Saccharomyces cerevisiae S288C: one gene and its partners. The protein of the gene in region 3 interacts with the protein of the main gene of each other region in a biochemical or structural test. Each region holds a gene or a part of one and is shown on either strand. Other genes may lie near its edges.

Region 1 (5,294 bases), on a different chromosome or scaffold from region 3:
AGAGTATCACGAAAAAATTCAAAAAATGATCAACGAAAGGCAATGCTATAAAATGCGGGTACTTGTCTCTAAGACAGGAGATATACGAATTGAGGCAATTCCAATGCCTATGGAGCCTATCCTAAAATTAACAACCGATTATGACAGTGTTTCCACATACTTCATCAAAACGATGCTCAATGGATTTTTAATTGATAGCACAATAAATTGGGATGTTGTTGTTTCATCTGAACCATTGAACGCATCAGCTTTCACCAGTTTTAAAACCACTTCAAGAGATCATTACGCTAGGGCGAGAGTTCGCATGCAAACTGCTATAAATAACTTAAGAGGTTCAGAACCTACTTCTTCTGTCTCGCAATGCGAAATTTTATTTTCCAACAAATCTGGCCTGCTGATGGAAGGTTCAATAACAAACGTGGCTGTAATTCAAAAAGATCCTAACGGTTCTAAAAAGTATGTGACACCAAGATTAGCAACTGGATGTTTGTGCGGAACAATGCGTCATTATTTATTGCGGCTCGGCCTTATTGAAGAGGGAGATATAGATATAGGAAGCCTTACCGTTGGCAACGAAGTTTTGCTTTTCAATGGCGTCATGGGATGCATAAAGGGAACAGTGAAGACAAAATATTGAGCAGACGACAGATTTTCATATCAATGAAGTTTTTTTACAATAGTTTACAAATCATGATTTTACATACTCAAATATGTGCAGGTTGATACAGACAACGTACGTAGAAGACAACAAACAGAAAACAGCGGTTTATACATTTATTTAAATGACATACAGTGGAGAAGCAGAGAAAGGAAAAGGAGTGCGATGAGAACAGAAGATGAATACTTCGGTTGTGTTGGTTCCACGTACACATTAATAGCATTAAAAATTGATCCTCTGAAATTACTTATGAGTTTTACGTCTTTTGGTATTTGGCGTTTTTCCACTGGCACCAATTGTAATGTTAACCTTTGGAGGGACTGGAAAACCGTAAGACTTTGCTACTTTGGCTAAATCCAGCTTATCGATTTGATAGACAGTTTTCAAAGAGTGGGAAGCGTACGCTTGTAAATAAGATCTATAACCATCCTTGGCTGTTTGATGTAGATAATAGTTGGATTTAATTAATTTTTCTAATTGTGATTGAACGTTTGCAATTTTGTTTTCCGGGAATTCGTACTCATTTAATGGGACCTTGGAAGCCTTTAGATATCTTAAAAACCCTAATTCATTAGGTGTTAAAAACATTAAAGATTTACCCTTACCTTTAGTGCCTCTTGCGGTTCTTCCGACTCTATGAATATAATCTCTTGGATCATCAGGAGGGTCGAATTGAATGATCCAGTCCACAGCAGGGATATCTAGCCCTCTAGCTGCGACATCTGTACAAATCAAGATACCTCTTTCCGCATTACAGAATTCGAAAAATGTATTTGTTCTCTTTTGTTGTTTTTGCTTACCGTGTAATTCGAGGACTGGCAAATCAATATAGTTCAATAATTCAGCGTAATATTTCACAGAGTTACAAGATGATAAAAATACAATAATTTTCTTTTTTTGATTTCTTTTCAAGAAAGAAAATAACAACAAAAATCTCTTATCACTGTCACATACCACATAGCCTTGTTCTAATCCATCTGCGGTGGAGTTGTCGGTTTCAGGAACGACATTAATGAAAAGAGGGCCCGGTCTCAGCGAGATTCTAGCCAAATCCTCAACTTTGGTCGTTTGTGTAGCTGAAAATAACATGGATTGCCTATCTTCGTTTGGCAAGATCTTAATTATCTGCCTCATTTCATCTTCAAACCCAATTTCTAAGATTCTGTCCGCTTCATCGATAATCAAAGCCTTCAAGTTCTTGAATACAAATCCTTTTGTATTTTGTAAGTGATCCAATAATCTTCCAGGGGTAGCAATCAACATGTTAACACCTTTCATCAATTTTTCGGCTTCCTGTCTTCTATTTGCACCACCAATGACAATACCAAATGTCTGTGAATGGAATTCCATTAACTCTCTTGCCACTCCAAAAATCTGTAAAGCCAACTCTCTTGTAGGCGTAATGACAATTATACCGGTACCATTTCTTGGTTTGAATTTCAAAGAATGCAATAGTTCAATAGCAGGGATGAGAAACGCTAGAGTTTTACCAGAACCTGTCTTGGCAGCACCAAGAACATCCCTACCGGCCAAAAGAGGTGGGATAGTCCTTGCCTGAACAGAAGTCATAGTGGTAAATCCCATCTTTTCAATGGCCTTTAAAGTTGGCTGTGATAACTTTAGTTCTTCGAACTTTTCCACACAAGTAGTTTGTTCTCCCTCAGGTGCGGCATTGTTTTGTTTTGAAGTGCTCTTTTCATCTACTACAGGTTCTTCTGTAGATTCAGAATCTCTAGAACGTTTATTTGACGGGGTAGCCATACTTCTCCTGTTAATATTGCTCAGCTTATCTAATTATTATAGTATACAGTTATCCAATAGCTATGTACTCAAGTACCGTGTATACACTATAAAATCTCATCTCATCGCTAAAGCTAATATTGAAAAAAAAAAAAAAAAAAAAAAGAAAAAGCAAATAAAAAATTTTCAATTCGGGTAACGAAGAATCGACTCTCGCCGGGTAAACAATTCTTAGTCGTCATACACTCCTCTTTACGTTAAGAAAATAGAAGTAGCAGCGCTTTGTAAAGCATTAAAGCGTCATGGATTGCAAAATACACATAATATATCACTTGTGATAGTGAGAAATGGAATGAAGTGGTTTAAGATGCTCTTTTACCAATAAACATATTGCGCCTATCAAATCATTTTCCACCCCTGTTAACTGATACAGATATAGCCTTACATATAACTTTTGCACTCCCTAAAATTACCATGGCTGTTCACCGCCTGCTATCATCCATGTTTTTACATACATCTATTAGGTTTGCCATCTTAGCCGCCGAAGCTATCGTTGCCGGTACAGGCGCTCCTTGAATAACCCCCTCCCCCCCACGCTATTCTTCAAATTCCGATTTCAGCTTCTCTTTGTTTTTCCTTTTTTGGCACCTCGGAAAAACCTCCACGTGTTAGGTTATTCCGCCGATTCCACGGGTGGGGTGCTACCAAGACTCCTGAAAAAGAAACTGTATGACGAAAAGAAAAAAAAAAAGCTGCTTGAATTCCAACACCGCTTTCTTGTTCTGACAATAGAAAGGGGGATTCCTAAAAAAAGAAAAAGAGGGCGGGGTTTATCATGTACTCAGAATATGAAAACGTGTCGAACGGGGATGACTTCTTCTGCTTCTTTACTTCTTTCTATTTAGAGTGACAGTTTTTTTATTTGTTTTGCTAACTTGTTTATTTATTAATTTCTTGTTTGCTCCTTCAGTTACCTACCACGACTGTCTCAGCCAAACCGCGATATTTTCATACAATTGACATTACAACAGTTCAAAAAGAAAAATACACATCCAGGATATGACTACAGCTAGTTCTTCTGCTTCCCAGCTACAACAGCGCCTGCCGGAAGAAAAACCTTGGCCGCAACTGAGTGGCAGCAATGCAGACGCTCAAACCTTCAAATGTAAATACGTAACCAACCACAACTCCTTGGGCGATGGGAATTTTAGCGTCGTGAAAGAATGTATGAATATACACACAAAGGATTTGTACGCGATGAAGCTTATTAAGAAACAAACTGTCAAGAACAAAATTCAACTTATTCAAAGAGAGTTCGACCTTTTGAGGTCAATAAGCGAGAAAATCAGAGATATGGAAAAAAAGAATGAACATTCTTTGGACATTTTTGAGGGGCATCACCATATTTTACAACTTTTCGACTATTTTGAGACGGCAGATAACATTGTCCTGATCACTCAGCTGTGTCAGAAGGGAGATTTGTATGAAAAAATTGTTGAAAATCAGTGTTTAGACCTCGAAACTCAAGTTACCTCGTACTGCGCCTGTTTGGTGAGCGTTCTCGAGTTTTTGCATTCTCAAGGTATTGTTCATAGAGACTTGAAAGCAGAAAACGTCTTATTCAGATTGAGAGTGAACGAAAACGAAAAAAACCTACAGGGTGAACACCACGGAGATTTCAAATACGATCTCTTGGCACACGACCTAGTTCTCGCCGATTTTGGTCTTGCTGCTGAATATAACACAAGTAAGGTAAACTCGTTAAAGGAGTTTGTTGGAACCATCTCGTATATTGCTCCAGAAATCGTCAAGTGCAAAGGTGTCGGTGAAATGACTCCTGATCAAGTTGGCAAACTAGACAAGTATGGTTGTCCGGTGGATATATGGGCCCTTGGTGTACTGACATATTTCATGGCCTTCGGCTATACGCCCTTTGACTGTACCACAGACGACGAAACTCTGGAATGTATTTCAAAATGTGACTATTACGTCGACGAACAAATGATGCACGACCCTAAATACGAACAATTTTGGAATTTTGTTCAATGCTGTTTTACTATTGACCCGGCCGTTAGGCGTTCTGCTAAGAATTTGAAACAGCATCCCTTTATTAAGGATTATTTTGCTACTTCAAATTCTTTGAATACTAAGGACACGCCGAATTTCTCCTTTCATCCAACAATAAGAAGGGTATCTTCTACAGCGTCCATGCACACATTGAGGTCTCCTTCCAAATCAAGAAAGACAACTACTCTAGCGTATTTAAATATGGATGGCGGGTCCTCTGAAACTTCCACCGCCTTCAGCAGCAAGATGGATTTGCCTGACCTTTACGTTGATAGAACCATTAATTCTCGTGAAAGATCATTGAATAGAATTCGAGACACTCTGAAGAAAACATTATCCATGACATCTCTTAAGCCTGCAGGCACATTCGACTATCTTCACGCTAACAAAAACGGTACTTCTTTATCATCATCCAAGTCAGGCCTCGTGAAAAAGAATTCTACTTTTGTCTTGGACCCTAAGCCACCAAAGAATAGCTTGATGAACGGTTGTTTCAGCACCACTCCAGAATCGCGCTCAAATTTCAATACCCCCAAAACCTTATCGAGGCAAGGTTCCTCTACTAGCGTGAAGAAATATGTCAATGAAGTTGACTTACTTTTAACCCCACGTACGGCCTCGATGAGCAGCAATGATACCACAGCCATTAACGATTATGATACTACTAACGATAAGAATCCTGCAAGAAAACACGCAGCTTCATTCCAGGTGAATGTTGATGATTCTGATGGTGATGAAACCATGCAGATATAGTGTTGAATGATAATTCACCTTTTTTTTCTTTCTTTTTTTTTTTACCTGGGACGACATTCTAACTAATGAAATTTAC
Region 2 (5,294 bases), 410 kb from region 3:
ATGATGACCTGAAGATTAACCCACTAATTCAATCATCAGATGATCACAGTAATGAAGACAATCATGTGATAATAGAACAATACATGCAGCTTTATCTCGTTCCATTATTTACTTCATTATTATTGGCCCAACAATTAAAAGACCGAGGCCAAGAACGAGATGAAGGACATAAAGAGAAAGAGGAAAATATAAATCTCATCGGGTCTTCCTCAGTCAAGAAATTATTTTCTCAACTAATTTTTTTTAGCTCTTTGAAATTGTGTGAAAATTTGGTCATAAAGGAAAAAAATTTAGCACTATATCATTTGATCAAATTCGCGACAAAGGTTTCTCTGGATGATTTGATTTTACAAAAAATATCCATAAACTTATTGAATCATTTGTTCTTCCATCAAATTAGGGATGGAAGTGATGATGATAATTTAATTAAAAAGTTATGTTTAAAAAATCAACTTTCTTTCCAAGCTTTGAAAGATTACATCACATTGTGGAATGACGGTTCTGAAGTTTATAATGCATTTTATAAGGAGCTTTTCTATGAAGAGCAACCAAAGATTAAGCCAATAAAACTAACAACATCTGACTTGCTGAAATTATTCCCTGAGGATGTTCAATTTGTGATATCCACTCCACCAAATACAATAACTTCAGCATCAACAAGCGATAATTGTACATCATCACAATCAGCTGCGCAGAAAAATATTGAAAACTTTACTACGTTATCGAAGTACGATGTCTACTCGTCCACATCTTTCATACCGTCCACGTCGAAAAACACTAACACTAACGTTAGTAAGCAGCAGCAGCAGCCTCAAAACTCTACTCCATGTTCTTCCAACAGGTTTTTGTTCAACAAAAGCAGCCTAATTTCTCAGGAAAGTAATGGTAGCAACAATAACAGCGGCACACAAGGACCTGGTTCCATGAATGAGAGTTATTCTCTTGACAATTCATTCAACACAACCAATACCAATATGACGAGACAACCAACCACCTTAACTAGAGCAACCGATGCTATGACTACGGCACCTACGACACCAATTCCATACAAGAACACTAGTGGAAGCAGCAATAACAATCTATGGATTGAATCGCCCATGACAAATTTCAAGGGTTCCACCATCAGTAAAAGTACTAATAAGAGCAAAATGGTTAATACTGGTAAAAATTATATTTTAGGGGGCCACAATAAAGTTAAAAACAACAGTAGAGCTCAATCAATACATATAGATGACTTTGAAAATGAGAACAATTAATTATCTCTGCGGAAGACTAAGACAATCAAAATATGTATTCTTACTATCATAATTAAATATTTTTATCGTTATTAATTATTATTATTATTACTATTATTATTATTATTATTATTATTATTATTATTATTTATTATTTATTAATTATTAATTGTTAATATTATTAATTCTTGTCTATTGTCTTTTGATTTATCTGCACCGCCAAAAACTTGTCAGCGTATCAGTCCATGTGTGGGAAGGGCAACGGTAAACTTCTTATGGGTGGTAATGTTTCCAGTTCTTGAACTTGTGAATCCGACTGAGAAATGGGGGTTTGTTGGGTGGATATAGCAGTATTAATCATATTCACCCTTGGTGACAATAATAACGGGGTTGTACTTAACGAACTACTGGAAGCCATCATTTGATTTTGATTTTGATTTTGACTTTGGTTTGACGTATTTTGTGATTGCAGTAGGGTATGTTGCTCTTGCTGCTGTTGTTGAACGTTCAGTAATCTGTTGTTCAACTCCTTTTGGAAATCAGGAGATGATGAGGAGAAATGCAAGTGATTTTGGTTCATTACATACCCCAAAGTGTGCAAATTCGTACCACTAGTGGATCTACTTAGCATTGTCGTGGGCGTGGAAGTCTTAGATTTCTTTCTTGATTGCTCTTGCAAATAGTCTTGCTCAAGGTTATCGATACTAGAGTTAGACGGGTCCTTTAGTCCGTCTTCTTCATCCTCACCACCAGTAGTAAAATCAGAGTCAGATTCGTTGGTATTTCTTTGGCCAACCAACAAGTCGTTCAAACTTAAAACTGAACTTGGTCTCTTCAACTGTACGGAACTCTGAGTTTGTGCTCTGAGACTTCCATTGTTGTTTGGATTTGCATTGTTCAATCCTTGAAAATCCGTTAAAGATCGCGGCCTTGGTAATATAACAGTGTTGGAATAACGTGGTGAAAGAGAATTTTGTTGTTGTTGTAGTTGTTTCTGTTCAGGACCGTCTATGAAAACAGTCCTTGGCGCACTGCTAGCAATGGGCGTCATCATTTGTAGGGACGATAACGCGTTCAGTTTCAGTCTACTGCCACTATGGCTATTGCTCAACGAAGACAAAGCAGTGGAAGCGGATGAAGTTTGGTAGTTCATATTATTCAGTGCTAAAGAAGGTGGAGGCTTCACCGAGACGGGAATCTTAGCCATCGTTTTGGGAGAAGAAACCATATATGGGTCATTCCCACCACTTTCGCCGATTTCGAATTTGGTTTTTCTACCTTTTCTTGTAGAAGATCGACTTGAATTTTCTTTCGGAGCAATAGCAATAGGAATTAAAGGCGATAGGTGTTGCTGTGGTAATGGCGGTGAAAAATTTGCCGTATTTAAATCTGGTATACTGGTAGCACTAGAACTAGCACTATTTATTGGAGAGCCCACAACCTTCTTCTTTCTGCCTCTTTTACCTCGAGGGTGGGAGTTTGTATGAATTCTTCTGTGTCTCGTCAGTTCATCGCTTCTACTGAACCTTTTCACACATCCGGGGAAGTCACACGCGTGAGGCTTCTCACCTGTATGAATTCTCATGTGTCTCGTCTGATGTTCCAGTCTGTGAAAAGCTCTATGACAGATAGGACAAGCATGTGGTCTTGGCGCCTCTGACTTCGCAGCTACTTTGGACTTGCTTTTACTCTCCTTCAATAGTGACCCATCATCAACGTTAGACACTTGTGTCATTGGATATGGGCTTTGCATGGCTATGGTAGTATGTCGTCTCCACTATACTCAACTCTCGTGTAGTTACAAGCGAGCTAGAATAAATGGCTCTCTTATCTTCGAAATGCTTTACCGGGCTTTCTTACTCTCCTTTGTCTTCGTTAATGAGTACTGGGGTGAAAAAAAAGGGTTATAATAAATAAATTATCCAAGAACGACTATTCTCTTTTCTTTTTTCTGCTTGCTCTTCCCCACTTTTCTCGTCCAGCCTGTTGTAAAAATTTGTTGTTGCTTCTTTCGTATTAGTTTTTCCGAAAGAAAGCGCCGCAGGGCCTTTACCATCACTCCAGGTTTTCCCGGAGTGGGGTGGCAGTCCGCAGTCTCTCGCGAAATCAAAGGCAACAAGCAGACACGTGGAGAAAAGCCAGGAGAACTCAAGAGCTCGAACAAGTATGCTAGCAACTAAACAAGCCGGCCTACGCCACTCTGGAGTTTCTCGCGGGGCCCGGCCGCTACAGGTTTCCTGAGAAGCCATTATAATGGCAACTACATTCATCAACACTCCATAAAATCCTATCGAGTTACACTGCTAGTGTCGCAATTGCGCTTTTCTGCTGCTTAATTGTGGGCCCCAAGCTCTTATCACTTGCTACCATCCTATAAACTGTATGGAATGCCATCACAACTTTCGGAAAAATAAAGCGCTTTTTTACGCTATCAGTGGAGATATTACGAATTAGGCACAGGGAAGAAATAGATAAAAAATTCATGGGGCCAACCCCAGACGTCAATCTTCTACACGTCAAGTTTTGAAAAAAATTAAATAAAAAATAAAAAAAAAAACCGGCGCGAAGGAAACGTGCTGGCTCGCTAACTTCTAGTCTTACTGTACTGACTACCTTCCAGTCCTACTGGTTATACTGCATTGTACGGCAACTTACACACCCCACGCACTTACTTTCCTCCACAATGCCATCTAGAAAAATCGATTACCCGCTAATTTTCCGGGAAAAAGTCGATTAATGTAGGTTAGTGGCAGCTATGCTAAGCAATGATAAAGGAACCATACACGATATTTCTACAGAAGGCTATTAAATAGGGTGAAATAGGATGAAGCAACAATCAAAAATTATGAAAGCATCCGTTTTCTCGCTATTCTAATAATGGGACAGAACTGCCAATTCTTGATCTGGTGATCCATACGATTAAAATAGGGGTTCATCGCATGGAAAGTCTGTAAATCACACTTGCCTACCATAAGGAAGTCATCAATTCCCGAATTTTAAACGGGTTTCTATGAGTATTTGGAGGATGTTCATTCTTGGTAACATTACTGATGACATTCAGTGATACACTGCCTTCAAGGAAACACACGCGATAGAGGCAAAACAATGTTGCAACGGCAATTAATTTCTGTCATTGTAATGAATTTCTGCTCGTTGCTTCTAACCATATCTTGTGTAACGCTTGCGTTGATATGCAAAAATAACGAGATGGAATTTGCTGCCCTCTTTCAGCCATATGATGGCGGCAAAAACTTTGAAATTTGTGCACAGGATATAATAAGCTACTTCTTGACTCTAACGCCGTACTACAGTTTACAAAAAATGTATACAAACTCTTAGGATTGGTCAAGAAAAGTAAATGTTGTACTGCTCCAAAGATATTGCGATGCCGTGATAATTCAAAAGGGTCGACCCAGTCTATTTCACTCGCGCGATAATCGTTCGTTATCCGAAGCTGGCCAATTGATACAATTAATTGACATCAGCAGACAGCAAATGCACTTGATATACGCAGCTTAAAGCAAGGGTAAATTATCTGAAAAAGGATTGAATACAATCAAAACCTTCACATACATTGGTAGTAATATCGAGCATCGCTATTAGCAGAGTATCTCGAAGTCTACCACGGCGAAAGTTGATTTTTTATCTGAGGTGCTGATCTTCGGACGCAATGCGCAAACGTAATTCCGTAGTTTTCCCAATTATTTTATTTTTTAAATTACACGTACCAGGTAGATCACATACATATACCCAACACCTGTTATATAGTGAATTGAATTATTCGGAACATCAATAATCCTTTGCTTATAATTCTTGTTATCATCCATCTTGCATCTTTATTTAATTATATTTTGCACAATAAGCTATCTATGTGAGCTGCGTACGGTGACTCCAAACAATCTGTTAATTTCCATATAAATAACTTGTAGTCGGATCGTACAATGGCTCTATATAGGTTTGGACCGGTATGTAACCTAATATGGCTGACTCAAAACCTGCTAGATAGTTATCCAAGTGAATTTGAGTCTCGTATCCTTTATCACATTTTTACAATAGTGG
Region 3 (5,294 bases):
TCAAATTAATTTGCGATGATTTTGGTGTACCTGAAACTAGTGTCAGAGTAATTGCAACAGAAGCCACGCGAGATGCTATTAACGCGGATGAATTTGTTAATGCTGTTTACGGTAGCACTGGCTGGAAAGTAGAAATATTAGGCCAGGAAGATGAAACTAGGGTCGGCATATATGGTGTTGTTTCCTCATTTAATACAGTAAGAGGTCTATATCTAGATGTGGCAGGTGGTAGTACTCAGTTATCATGGGTAATAAGCTCGCACGGAGAAGTCAAGCAATCCAGCAAACCTGTATCTTTGCCATATGGAGCTGGAACTCTTTTGAGAAGAATGAGAACAGATGATAATAGGGCACTTTTTTATGAGATTAAAGAAGCGTACAAAGATGCGATTGAAAAAATTGGTATACCTCAAGAAATGATTGATGACGCCAAGAAAGAAGGTGGATTTGACCTTTGGACCCGTGGGGGTGGTTTAAGAGGTATGGGACATCTGCTTCTTTACCAGTCGGAAGGTTATCCCATCCAAACAATAATTAACGGATATGCTTGCACTTATGAAGAATTCTCGTCTATGTCAGATTATCTATTCCTAAAACAAAAAATACCAGGTTCTTCAAAAGAGCATAAAATATTTAAGGTTTCTGATAGAAGGGCTTTACAACTTCCTGCCGTTGGTTTGTTCATGAGTGCTGTTTTTGAAGCGATTCCCCAGATCAAAGCTGTACATTTTAGTGAGGGTGGTGTTCGAGAGGGTTCACTTTATTCTCTTCTTCCAAAAGAAATTCGTGCACAAGATCCATTGCTAATTGCGTCCCGTCCTTATGCTCCATTACTTACTGAAAAATATCTATATCTATTGAGAACATCAATCCCACAAGAAGATATACCAGAAATAGTAAACGAAAGGATTGCTCCTGCTTTATGTAACTTAGCATTTGTTCATGCCTCTTATCCAAAGGAGTTACAACCAACAGCTGCATTACATGTTGCTACAAGAGGGATAATAGCCGGCTGTCATGGATTATCTCACAGAGCTAGAGCGCTGATAGGAATTGCTCTATGTAGTAGATGGGGCGGCAACATTCCGGAATCTGAAGAAAAATACTCCCAAGAATTAGAACAAGTAGTTCTACGCGAAGGTGATAAAGCTGAAGCATTGAGAATTGTATGGTGGACGAAGTATATTGGTACGATTATGTATGTGATTTGCGGTGTTCATCCAGGTGGTAATATCAGAGATAACGTATTTGATTTCCATGTTTCTAAGCGTAGTGAGGTGGAGACCAGTTTAAAAGAATTAATCATTGATGATGCAAACACTACAAAGGTAAAAGAAGAATCCACGCGTAAAAATCGCGGGTATGAAGTGGTTGTGAGAATTAGTAAGGACGATCTTAAAACAAGTGCTTCCGTTCGTTCCAGAATTATCACGCTACAAAAGAAAGTACGCAAGCTATCTAGAGGAAGTGTAGAGAGGGTTAAAATTGGCGTGCAATTTTATGAAGAATAAAGACATCTAGTCTTTAAATACTTGAACAATAAATACGAAATCCTTATATAAGCATCTTTTACTACCAAAAAAATTTAAAATTAAGCAAGAGAAAAAAACGAGCAATTGTTAAAAGAAACTAAAATCATGTAGATTTCATAAATCGTCATATTCTTTGTCTATATAAATATTTATCGTCACGAATAAATCCCGTGAATTTCTAACAAAGTTTATACAATATCACAGTTGTAAAAGTAAGAAAAAAAAAGATCATAGAAAACATGTTCACATAAGTAGAAAAAGGGCACCTTCTTGTTGTTCAAACTTAATTTACAAATTAAGTTTAAGCACCGATGATACCAACGGACTTACCTTCAGCAATTCTTTTTTGGGCCAAAGCAGCAATAACAGCGGCACCAGCACCGGAACCATCTTCAGCAGGAACAATCTTGATTGGGTAGTCGTCTAGTGAGGTTTGAGTCCAGCCGTAAATGTCCTTCAAAGCATTGGCAGCCTTTTCTTTGAAACCTGGGTATCTGTTGTAAACGGAACCGTCTGCAGCGATGTGACCGGTCTTGTAACCTCTCTTTTGACAGATAGCAGCAATACCACAAACGGACAATCTAGCAGCTCTAGCACCAATCAATTCAGATAAACGTCTGATCAATTTACGTTCTTGAACAGTAGTGTTGATACCGAACTCATTTTGGAACAAGTCATCGGTATCTTCTAGGTTCTCGAATGGATCTTCCTCGATTCTGGCTGGGTAAGAAGTGTCCATGACGAAAGGCTTGTCGAACTTAGACAAGTCTTGGTTCTTGAAGATGAAACCTTGTTTGTACATGTCCATCAAGGCCAAACGCAAAATTTCACCTAAGTAGTAACCAGAAGACATTTTTTCAAAGGTTTGTTGGCCTGGTCTTGGAGATTCTTCATCAATGGTGATATCGTATTTAGTTCTTGGCAAAACGACATGTTCATTATCGAAGGAACCGTATTCACAGTTGATGGCCATTGGAGCAGATGGTGGAATGTCATCAGATAGTTTTCCTTGTAGCTTTTCGATATCGGAACAAACATCGTAGTAAGCACCATTGACACCAGTACCGAAGATAACACCCATCTTAGTTTCTGGGTCAGTGTAGTAAGAAGCAACCAAAGTACCGGTAGTGTCGTTTATCAAAGCAACAACTTCAATTGGGATATTCCTCTTAGTGATTTGCTTTTGCAACATTGGAACAACATCGTGGTTTTCAATGTTTGGAATATCAAAACCTTTAGTCCATCTTTGCAAGATACCTTCATTGATTTTGTTTTGAGAAGCTGGGAAAGAAAAGGTGAAACCCAATGGAATTGGCTCAGAGATACCTTGTGGGAATTGCTCATCAATAAAAGCTTTCAAAGAGTCGGCAATAAATTCCCACAATTCGTCTGGATTTTGAGTAGTTCTCATAGCATCTGGTAATCTGTACTTAGATTGAGTGGTGTCAAAGGTACGGTCACCGCCCAACTTGACTAAGACAACTCTCAAGTTGGTACCACCCAAATCAATGGCCAAGAAATCACCGGATTCCTTACCAGTTGGGAAATCCATAACCCAACCTGGAATCATTGGAATGTTACCACCCTTCTTGGACAAACCCTTTTCCAATTCGGAAATGAAGTGCTTGGTAACGGCTTGTAAAGTTTCAGTTGGAACAGTGAAAATTTTTTCAAAATTCTCAATTTGTTGCATCAATTCCTTTGGCACATCGGCCATGGAACCCTTTCTGGCTTGTGGTTTTTTTGGACCTAAATGAACCATTTTATTTAATTAGCGTACTTATTATGTGTGGAGAATTATATTCCTACAACCTTTTCAAAGAAAAAGCGAAAAAATATTAAGAAACTTTGAAGTTAAGTTATAAAAGTTAAGGAATTTTTTTTAGATATGGGGTAGGATTACTCTTTTTTATAGTTTTGTAGATAAGACAGTGGCGAAGGTGCAACAAAGAGACATCACGGAATTGGACACGATATTTGCAAGCTCGCCTCAGCAGGAGGTAATTTCGTGGATCTCGCAATCAAAGGTGTTTCGTGGTCGTCGTCGTCGTCGTGGAAAATTTTTCAGAAAGAAAAGAACGATTACCTAAACTGTCTTTTTCTTTTACAACATGATGTCCCTGAAACAGAGAAAGTACCGTACGAATGTCGATCGACCGGAAAAACTGCCCGCGAGAAAAAGAAATCTCTTTTCTTCGATTTTTTTGTGCCGTCCGGTTTATTGCCCGGTGCCGTCCGGCATGATAGCCATTTCTAGGTACCAATGTGCGAGGAGGTTCAGAAAACTCGTAGTAACATGATGGAAAAGGCATTAGAAAGAGCAGTATACTCTGGGGTCACCAATGTGGAGCTCTGGAGCCCCGCACTTTTTTTCAAGAATAATAGGATGTATACGTAATACGTAATAGGTATCACGCTATTTACTCTTGCCTTTTCTTTGTTTCATAGTTCGAATCACATGAGTAGAGGACGGAAATTGCTCTTCTATGGCGTTCAGTATTCGAATAAATCCCAGACGCTAGGCTTATATAAATGAATGTAGCTGTACTTTACCAGCGTCTCAGGAATGAAGGCGTGCGTGTGGTCATAGTGGTCAATGAGATCAAATACAGATGCGAATGGACTAAGCTCTTGACAATCACTATGTTTGCACCGGTTATCCGACCAGTAACTCTCTGGATCAGTTGGGGTTTGTGCCGTAGTGCTATCAACGCTTTCACTACTGCTTGTCCCAGTAGTGCTAAATGAAAGTTGTGGAATGGATGTAGTGTCGGTGCTGCTGGATTTCTCAGAGGTTGGAAGCGATTCCTTCAGAGATGGATCTCCAGATGGTACAACAAGCTTACTTGCTATATGATGTTGCAACATATGATTTATTAGATCGTCATTGAAGCTGGTAACTTTTTGACATGATTTGTATGGGCATTGTAGCACTTGCATGTCATCATATCCAGGCAAATGACCTTGCGAGAATTCTTCACCACACATTGGAGAGCCGGAAGGTAATTTTGGGTCAAAACCTCCCTCCTTGCCATTGAGTTCTGCTTTCACATTCGCATTCACTCCTTCGTGTTTACGGTCAATTCTTGATGCAAGCTTGCTTTTTCTTTCATGACTATTTAAATGCCTTCTTAATTGCTGATTTGTGACAAATCTTTTTTGACATAATGTGCACGCTTTGGGCTTGATTTGTGAATGAGTCCATTTGTGAACTCGTAGATGGCACGGTCTTATAAATTTTTTGCCACATCCCGGCTCATCACAATGATACGGCTTTTGATTGGTATGCGAATTTTGGTGTTGCTGAAGCAAACTAGGTCTGTTGTAGACTTTCTCACAACCGTCAAAAGAACATTTGTAATTTCTAGACTTGGTTCTCCCTATATCCGTCATTGTTTTGGTGGCCACGTATTCTGGTACCACTTGTGCACACCAGCGTAAAAGTTGTCATTTTCATCTTCTTTAGCGTATTTATTGTCCGAGACTGTTAAAGAAAAATTATTACTGTTTTTTTGCTATTACTAAAGAATAAATAACTATAAAATATGAAATAGAATCTATATGGAACATGCAGAATTTCGCTTTGGTTTAAGCCCACTTACCGATCAAAGCCATGATACCAGCACCGAAAAGAGTGCATATAACGTTGAAGGACAATTCTCTTAGATCCTTTGTTCTTTGAGGATTGAATATAAAGTCTCTTGCTAGTAGTTCAACCAAACCAGTGTACAATAAGATACCAGCAGAAATGGCATCCAAAAC

What was found.
Region 1: of the proteins of HXK2 (region 3) and TDA1, one has a biochemical effect on the other in vitro, tested with the Saccharomyces cerevisiae proteins (2 studies listed by BioGRID).
Region 2: the proteins of HXK2 (region 3) and MIG1 form a complex in vitro, tested with the Saccharomyces cerevisiae proteins (2 studies listed by BioGRID).

What each region holds. Positions count from the first base shown.
Region 1 is NC_001145.3:849,173-854,466, forward strand, and holds TDA1 (protein kinase TDA1), read left to right. Parts: upstream 1-3,457; coding exon 3,458-5,218; downstream 5,219-5,294. Other genes in the region: aminodeoxychorismate lyase ABZ2, read left to right, coding at 1-637; ATP-dependent RNA helicase HAS1, read right to left, coding at 902-2,419. UniProt on the Saccharomyces cerevisiae protein: Serine/threonine protein kinase shown to have protein phosphorylation activity in vitro.
Region 2 is NC_001139.9:430,075-435,368, forward strand, and holds MIG1 (transcription factor MIG1), read right to left. Parts: upstream 2,989-5,294; coding exon 1,474-2,988; downstream 1-1,473. Other genes in the region: VIR1 (Vir1p), read left to right, coding at 1-1,256; YGL034C (uncharacterized protein), read right to left, coding at 3,140-3,505. UniProt on the Saccharomyces cerevisiae protein: Involved in glucose repression of the SUC, GAL and MAL genes as well as of the CAT8 gene. Binds to two sites in the upstream region of SUC2.
Region 3 is NC_001139.9:21,935-27,228, reverse strand, and holds HXK2 (hexokinase 2), read right to left. Parts: upstream 3,295-5,294; coding exon 1,834-3,294; downstream 1-1,833. Other genes in the region: RTG2 (Rtg2p), read left to right, coding at 1-1,511; FZF1 (Fzf1p), read right to left, coding at 4,026-4,925; high-affinity Zn(2+) transporter ZRT1, read right to left, coding at 5,121-5,294. UniProt on the Saccharomyces cerevisiae protein: Catalyzes the phosphorylation of hexose, such as D-glucose and D-fructose, to hexose 6-phosphate (D-glucose 6-phosphate and D-fructose 6-phosphate, respectively).